Schizosaccharomyces pombe: one gene and its partner. The gene in region 1 interacts genetically with each later gene. Each region holds a gene or a part of one and is shown on either strand. Other genes may lie near its edges.

Evidence for each region. A genetic interaction does not mean that the proteins touch.
Region 2: mutations in swi6 (region 1) and sgo2 impair growth when combined (synthetic growth defect), as found in Schizosaccharomyces pombe (4 studies listed by BioGRID, with this or other methods).

Annotation. Positions count from the first base shown.
Region 1 is NC_003424.3:1,702,327-1,706,083, forward strand, and holds swi6 (heterochromatin (HP1) family chromodomain protein Swi6), read right to left. Parts: upstream 1,773-3,757; 5' UTR 1,676-1,772; coding exon 689-1,675; 3' UTR 80-688; downstream 1-79. Other genes in the region: Ino80 complex actin-like protein Arp8, read right to left, coding at 2,655-3,757.
Region 2 is NC_003424.3:3,712,179-3,715,935, forward strand, and holds the start of sgo2 (shugoshin Sgo2), read left to right. Parts: upstream 1-1,963; 5' UTR 1,964-2,008; coding exon 2,009-2,045; exon of another isoform or gene 2,046-2,083; coding exon 2,084-2,123; exon of another isoform or gene 2,124-2,173; coding exon 2,174-2,406; exon of another isoform or gene 2,407-2,449; coding exon 2,450-2,517; exon of another isoform or gene 2,518-2,569; coding exon 2,570-3,757. Other genes in the region: protein kinase domain and HEAT repeat protein Ppk3, read left to right, coding at 1-749, 790-918, 969-1,141, 1,201-1,582. UniProt on the Schizosaccharomyces pombe protein: Involved in chromosome cohesion during mitosis and meiosis by preventing premature dissociation of cohesin complex from centromeres after prophase, when most of cohesin complex dissociates from chromosomes arms.

The DNA.
Region 1 (3,757 bases):
TACAACTGTGTTTACATAGCAACAATTACATTCAAACCCTTATTTATCTTTAGCTATACAGCTATTCTCAAACGAATTTCTCAAGAGGCAACATAGTACTTGATAAAGATTCAAACTTGATACACTACATCTTGACCCTATCTTTGAGTTCAGTTGGTAACCCAAACTTAGAAGCATATGGAACAGAAGAAACGGAGAAGGCAGATATTCATGCACCCTCATTTTTGTTAACAAATTTATCTGCTGAGGTTTATGAGTAACGATTTTGCATGCATAAATTCTTTATTTAACGAGTAAAATTACGTTATTATTAGACACGATTTTGAATGCATGAAGAGCAGTGCATGCTAAATTAATAAATGGTAAAATTAAAGAAATTAGGTTATCTAGAATGTCAAACCTTAGGTTATTTAGAATGTCAAACCATAACGACAAAAGGTATTTTACATTTCTCAAGTCACTCGTAATCAATTCAATGTGAAAGAAAACAAAGGCGTTCATAAACTAGAATGTGATGTTAAGCGCCTAACAAAAATTTGTATAAGTATAATGTTAGATGCATTTTTCGAGTAAGAGAACAAGAACTCATACTACGACACGGGACTTGATAAAAGCAATAACGTCAGAAAAAAGCGAAATCTAATTTATAAACAAAAGAAAAAGAATTTTTTAAAGGAACACAAAAAAATTATTCATTTTCACGGAACGTTAAGTGGCTTTCATAAAATTGAAGCATCTTCTGAGGACATTTTTTATTGGTGATAGTACTAGGATGATGAGATATTGCACCGTTCTTCCAAGTCAGATAAATTTCCAAGGTTCCATCATCTTTTCGTTCAATTGTATCGATGCTAGATACCAAGTCTTCCCAAGAATCATAGTTTTCTACTTGTTTAACCGTCAGCTCTCTGTTGTCCGGAAGTTTGGGAACTTCCGGACTAGGCTTCTTTTTCGGAGTAACATTGCTAGGGGTCTCTGCTATTTGAATATCCTCACTTTCATTCGATTCTTTTTGTGAAGGAGATTTAGACTCATTGTCAGATTCAATGTGACCATTCGGCTGACCAGAAGGTGGGCCGTTCTCATTAAATTCCTCTTGCGATTTATCGGCGAATTTAATAGTTTTCTCATTCACATCTTCAATCTTTTCATTGGAATCTTTGTCGTGTTTATCTTCATCAGTTTTACGAGACTTTGGTGAAGGCTCCTTTGCTTCGGGCTTTTTAGGTCTTGCAGTCCTCTTTCTTTTAGAAGGTTCTGGTCTTCCTCCATGTTCATTCCAATATGCTTCTATCAACTGTTTGCAACCGCTACAATCGGCTTCTGAACTCCATGTATTATCACTGGGATCGTCATAACCTTCCCATTTCAAAAGGTATTCATAGCCTCCACCTTTTCTCGCCATACGGTGTTTTAAAACCTTTTCTACAACATATTCATCCTCTTCTTCTTCTTCTCCTCCTTCTTCTTCTTTGGCATTTTCTTTCAATTTCTTCGACGAAGATTTACTTTCATGATCGCTTTCAACTTCATTGTCCGACGACCCAGAGTCTGCTTTATGAGAAGCAATAGCCTCCTTTGTCATGCTTGGTAACTCTGGTTCCGAATCGTCGTCAATAACTGATCGTTTTGAAGTAGAGGAGCGCCGATAAGATCGAACACCTCCTTTCTTCATTTTTCACTTGTCTTAATATGAAAATAAACGAGATTTCAGAATATTTTAAAAAGTACTAAACATCAATTTCGCGTTGGTCTTTACAGGTTGTTTGCTCGTTTAGCGAGACATGTTTGGCTTGCTTTTCATGGTGTACAGAATGGCTAGCATCACATAGAGTTCGTTTATTAAAATATTGCATAGAAGTACTGTATTAATCGTTGTCTAAAAGTTGATTAACGACGCCTAATTTTGCTTAGATCACTATCAGTAATAATCATTATTTCAAAAGCATCTCAATTTCCTAGTGATTTACTTAATGCGAAATACGAAAATATTGAACAAATATTACCGTTAGAAATAAAATTAACATTTTAAGTAATGCTGCGAGTAACAAGATATTTGGCTGTTACGGTTGGCATGCTGATTTGTTTTCTAAAGCAATGCTGAGTCTCTCAAGATTGATAAACAATCTTAACTAGAAAACAATTCCACCTTTTAAATTTCGTAGGCAATCATCGTCAAACAACAAAATATATATTCTTATGAGGATTCTTTTTGCACTACATATTACACTGAATAACTTAAGTCGTCAACGAAGTCCCGAGTGGCTCAATCGGTTTAGAGCGTCTGACTCTTATGATGGTAATCAGAAGGTTGCGAGTTCGAGTCTCGCCTTGGGAGTTTATTTTTTCAATTTTTTTACAATGATACTACAATTTTTGGAATGTAAAGATTACTTAAATACAAAATGGTACGTTTAAAGAAATACGTACTTAGGGAAATTATGATAAATTCAACTTATTTGAGCACTCAAATATCAAAAAGAATGAGTAGTTGATGAAGTATCTTCAAAATTTCAAAAAACATGAACTTAGAGGCATCTGTACTGTTTTTGTAGACCATGGTTTATTAACATCTAAAAATAATGAAAAATAGCAAAAACATATGGTGTTGCATTAAAAAATTAGTAACGAATATGAAAGCATAAACATATGGTTTAGCCAGTCCAAAAATAACCCAATGTCTTGTATTGCAAGACACGGCTACCTAACATTTTCCAATCGCTGTTTTTTATCCACAGCTCCGATACGATCCGAATGCGATTGTATATACAAGCACCCTTCCAGGCAACAAATTGAGCATCCATACTTCTTGGTGGAGGAATTACCGAAATAGTAGGGATGTTGGCACGCTTGGAATGGATACGCTCTTCCAGTAAATGAGCAAAGCCCGGGAACTGACCAGCTCCACCGACGATCAAAATGCTTGAGTAAAGATTTTTTGCCTTCTCATCACTTAAATTTCCATCACATGCACTAAATATACTCTGGTTGATTGCATCATCCAAAGGATATATCAGTTTCTCATTCTTTATTTCTGGAGCAGCAAGTGAGCCACAATATACTACCCGTGGAGGCTTGAATTTTACCGAAGGTGTCACCAAATCACTTTCTTCTTTTTTCTCTTCATCATCTTTTCCATTAGCTTTGATGTTGGATATCGGCGTAGATATTTGCAATAAAGTGGTTTGGGCAAGTGATTCGGGATTATTCGGTTGGTTGTCATATACATCGACCGGCACTGGAAACAAAGTATACCGATCATGAAGTTTATTTTCATTTTCAAAAATGTCAGGGCGAAAGAATCCAAGAGGTGCAAGCATTGTTTCGTCAAGGCTTTTAAATGTAAATTTTCTAGTCCCTTTATCAGGTGTTCGCGAAAAGAAGCTATTCAATTGAACATTATAGGTTGCTTCACTTAGGCCACAATATTTTATTTTTAAAGCATTGGCTAAAGACCAATCATACGGAGTTTTTAAGTCAATATCCTGATACGGGAAATGACTTCTCATGAGTAATTTCATGAATAAAAGCGTAATGTCATCTCCTCCATAGTTTATTTTTATCCTTGAGTTGGGAACGACAACCCCTTCTTCTACACAACTGATGGATGTTTTCTGAGCGCCCATATCGACAACACAAGCAGCAGACATTCCAGCACCAAATGAAGTGCACAGCGATTCTTGGACTATGGCAGCCTTTCCAAAATGCAAATCAAAAAATAAAATGTCTAATATTTTCTCCACGTACACTCTATCGT
Region 2 (3,757 bases), 2.0 Mb from region 1:
GTGATTCACCACAATTTATAAAGGATAATCATGACAAAATTCTGAACTGGAGTCGGTTGGTTCCGTTTGAAATTCAGTCTTCAACATTAAATAGTGCTTCATTCATTTACTTGGATTCTTATGAATTGGGAAAGTTCATTTCTCATCTTTATAATGGAACGCCAGGGGACTTATCTCAGCGTGGAAACATTCCAGCCAATATATTTGTTTCTGCAAAAAAACTGTTGAATGTGGAAGGAAAGCAAAAGTTATTAGCTTCAGAATTTCTAAAACTTGGCGAGCGTCCTGGGGGGTTTTTTCGTACACATTTGATTACGTTATATGAACTTTTGTCCGAGGTTCGAATAAACGAAGAGGAAGATAGAGTGAAATTAAAACAACTTCTTTCGTCAAAGCTAGAAGTAATTCCTAAAAACTATATACAAAAGGTTGTATTAAACATCCTCTTTCTACTATTATCGATTGACACCCATTCGGACGTCGTTGAGCTTCTATTCAAATGTGCTCAAATTGTAAAAGGAAGACCGGATATAGAAAAAGACTTTGGAGTACCGTTATTGTCTCTTTTGAAACAACAAAGCGTTCCCATACGAGGCTTGCTACTTTCCGGAATCATTAACAATCCCGACGTGCTACCAAAGAATATATATGAAGACACTAGCTTTTCAGTTTTCGCGAACCTTGTGCGCTCCAATTCTCCCACCTTAAAAGAACATGCTATTGTTGTTTTTTCCATTATAGCACCAAAAGTAAGCCATCTTATCTTACAAATTGCTAATTAGTATACAGCTTTCGAAGAAAACATTGAATAATGAACTACTACGAAGCTTAGCGGTTGTCCAAAATGACCAACATCCTACTTTACGTACCAACAGTACCATTTGTCTAGGTAAAATTGCTGAATATTTAGATGCCAGCGTAAGACTAAGAAGAACTAAACGTTAGGACTTTATTTTTAACAGATTTAGGTGCGAAAACCCGTTTTAGCTGCTGCTTTATCACGTTCTCTTAAAGACCCATTTGTTCCTGCTAGAGAGGCAGCCTTAAAAGTACTCCTCTCAGTTCAAAATTACTTTGATACAAAGGATGTGGCCATCAAACTTTTCCCATCGGTGGTGCCATTACTAATTGATGAAAACGAGTAAGATTTTTTTGAACCTGTATACCACTTAGGAATTACTAACTTTTTGACGTTATTAGAGGAATACGAAGAACAGCTGAGGATGTCACTGACCAATTTTTGAGCCGTATAAAAAACTTTAATTTAGGGGAAAAAGAAAATGTTTCCGCACCGGCAAAATTTAATGGTTCTTTTTGGTCCAAATTTATTCATTCATCTTCTGCTTCTCCTTCGCCTTCTATCGATATGAAAAAGGAGTCGCTTGAGTTAAAAAATGATACCACTGAAATAAAAGAAAAAAAAAATTCAAAAAGTAGAGTTGTTGGAAACACTGAAAACTCTAAGGATGAATTCAATAATCCTCTTTTTGAAACAGAGGAACAGATAGACGAATCTTGGATGGAAAACTGGAATGACGAAGAGGAAACAGAAAATAACGTAGAGGAAAGTTGGGGGTTATAATTTGATTGAATTTAATTAATAATTTTTCGTGGTCAAGATTAATTCACGACTAAATCACATGTCGACTAAGTACTCCATGTACTACTCGTTTTGACATATTTCAATCAAGCTTGATTTTTAATAATTAATATTTTTAATAGCTAATTATTTTTCTCTTTGAACATTTATTAATACCACTGAAAGGATTAGTGAATGGTAGTTCTTTCTTTAGTTATCTATCTATTCGTAAATTCAAAGTATAGTAAATGTAAAAGGATTTTAATGTTCTTTTCAAAGAGTGTATCATTAGTAGTCAAATAATTCGTACTTCGACTATCCAGCACCTCTACACCTTGTTGATAATGATACTGCTGTACAGCCGCGTTTAAGTACTAAACCTCCACCGGGAACGTGGTCAATGAAGTACATCGGGATTTTCTATTTATAATGTCGAAAGCATCTCTTTCCCCGAACGTAGAAGACTGTACGTGATACTTATATTAATCTCAACTGATGAATTAGTGAAAAAAAAGCAAATTCGACAGTATAAGGAAATTATACGGTACGCATACATTTTTGTTGGAATTGAATAATTAATTAACACATACAAAGAATAAGCAAGGCACAATCAATTAGAATTAAAGAATTGCAGTTAGAAAATGAACGGTTGCTTTCGGAAAATATCGATTTGAGGACTACAGCGATAAACTTGGAAGAGCAACTCGAAACCGTGCAAAACGAAAACGAAGAAAACAAAACAAAGTTAGCTGCATTACTTAATCGATTTCATGAAGAAACAGATAATTTTTTATCAAAATTAAGTCTTTGTCAGCAAGAAATACAAGGTACGTGTTTGAATTCATATCGTTTTTAGCTAATTGAACACAGACACCTTCAAACCAGTGGAGGCTAACTTAGCTTACGATGTCGATACGGATTCTGAAGACCTTGACGAGGTAAGTTGAATCGTATTATGTTTTTCAGATATGTTTATCTAACGTCTGAAAGGAATCCGTCGTGAAAGATACCGAAGAAATAATTGAGCAAGCTCAGCATGATGTTTCCTTACGAAATTTAAGTGGAATAGAGGATGAAAATATAATTGATGACGGAGAAACTGCTATAAATGAACAAAAAAAAAGAGAAGCTAATGTTTTTTCCGACACGCAATCAGCACCTCAGCTAAAATCCGGCAAAGCCCTCCCAGCTGATTTTGAAAATCCTTACAATCTATCCAATTCGAAACCTGTAAATAATAATAATGAAGATAGAGTTGAAGCGGTTACTTCTGAAAATAAATCTATCGATTCTGCTCCTCAGGAAAAAAATCATGAATACGAAATCGTTAGTCCAAAATCATTATCCAACAAAATTAATAATCAAGCAGCTGCACAAAGAAGAACCGAAGAAGATAATGCAAATGGAGTTGCTCAAGAAGAAAATGAGGGTTCACAAGAAGCTCATTTTCATAGCAGAATACAATCTGATACAGTAATACAAAGTACACCCACTAAACGGAAATGGGACGTTGACATTCAAAATAAACAAATTAATCTGGCTTCTGCAGCTACCAATGTTACCGGTTATGTATCGGAGACCGATAGTCGCCCCAATCGCGCAAACTCTTTGGATTCTGCTGTCCTTCTTGTGCAATCTTCAAATAAAAGTAACCGAAATGGGCATCATATTTCAGATCCTAATTTAAATAGCTCCATATCGTTGAAGTTTGCGCCTGAAGATACTGCGCATAATTCATTAACTTCACAAGAGAATGTTGGGCCTCAGGTTACGACGACTTCTCTGTCAAATATGACTGTTGCTGAATCTCCTCGTACAGACACTCCAAGGGAAATAAACGGGTTAGTAGACTCTTCTGTCACTAATGGGAACGAAAAATTTTCTGTAGAAATAATGAATGACTCTAACAAAATTGGACTGAATCCTAAATCTTTTACCGACGAAGAGCGGGAAATTTTAACACTTTTTCGAAATCCTCCCATGAGACTGTCAAGTGAACCTCCATCTTCAAATGGATTTTCAATAGCCCATCCCAATAATTCTCCGTTACGTCCGCCATCGCTACAAGGAATATTGAATGCTGAAGATCGACCTTACGAAATTGAGCCGTCACGTAGCTCCTTTGCTACCAACGATACGGGCTCCTATAATAATTTGGAACTTCTGTCATCTGTAACG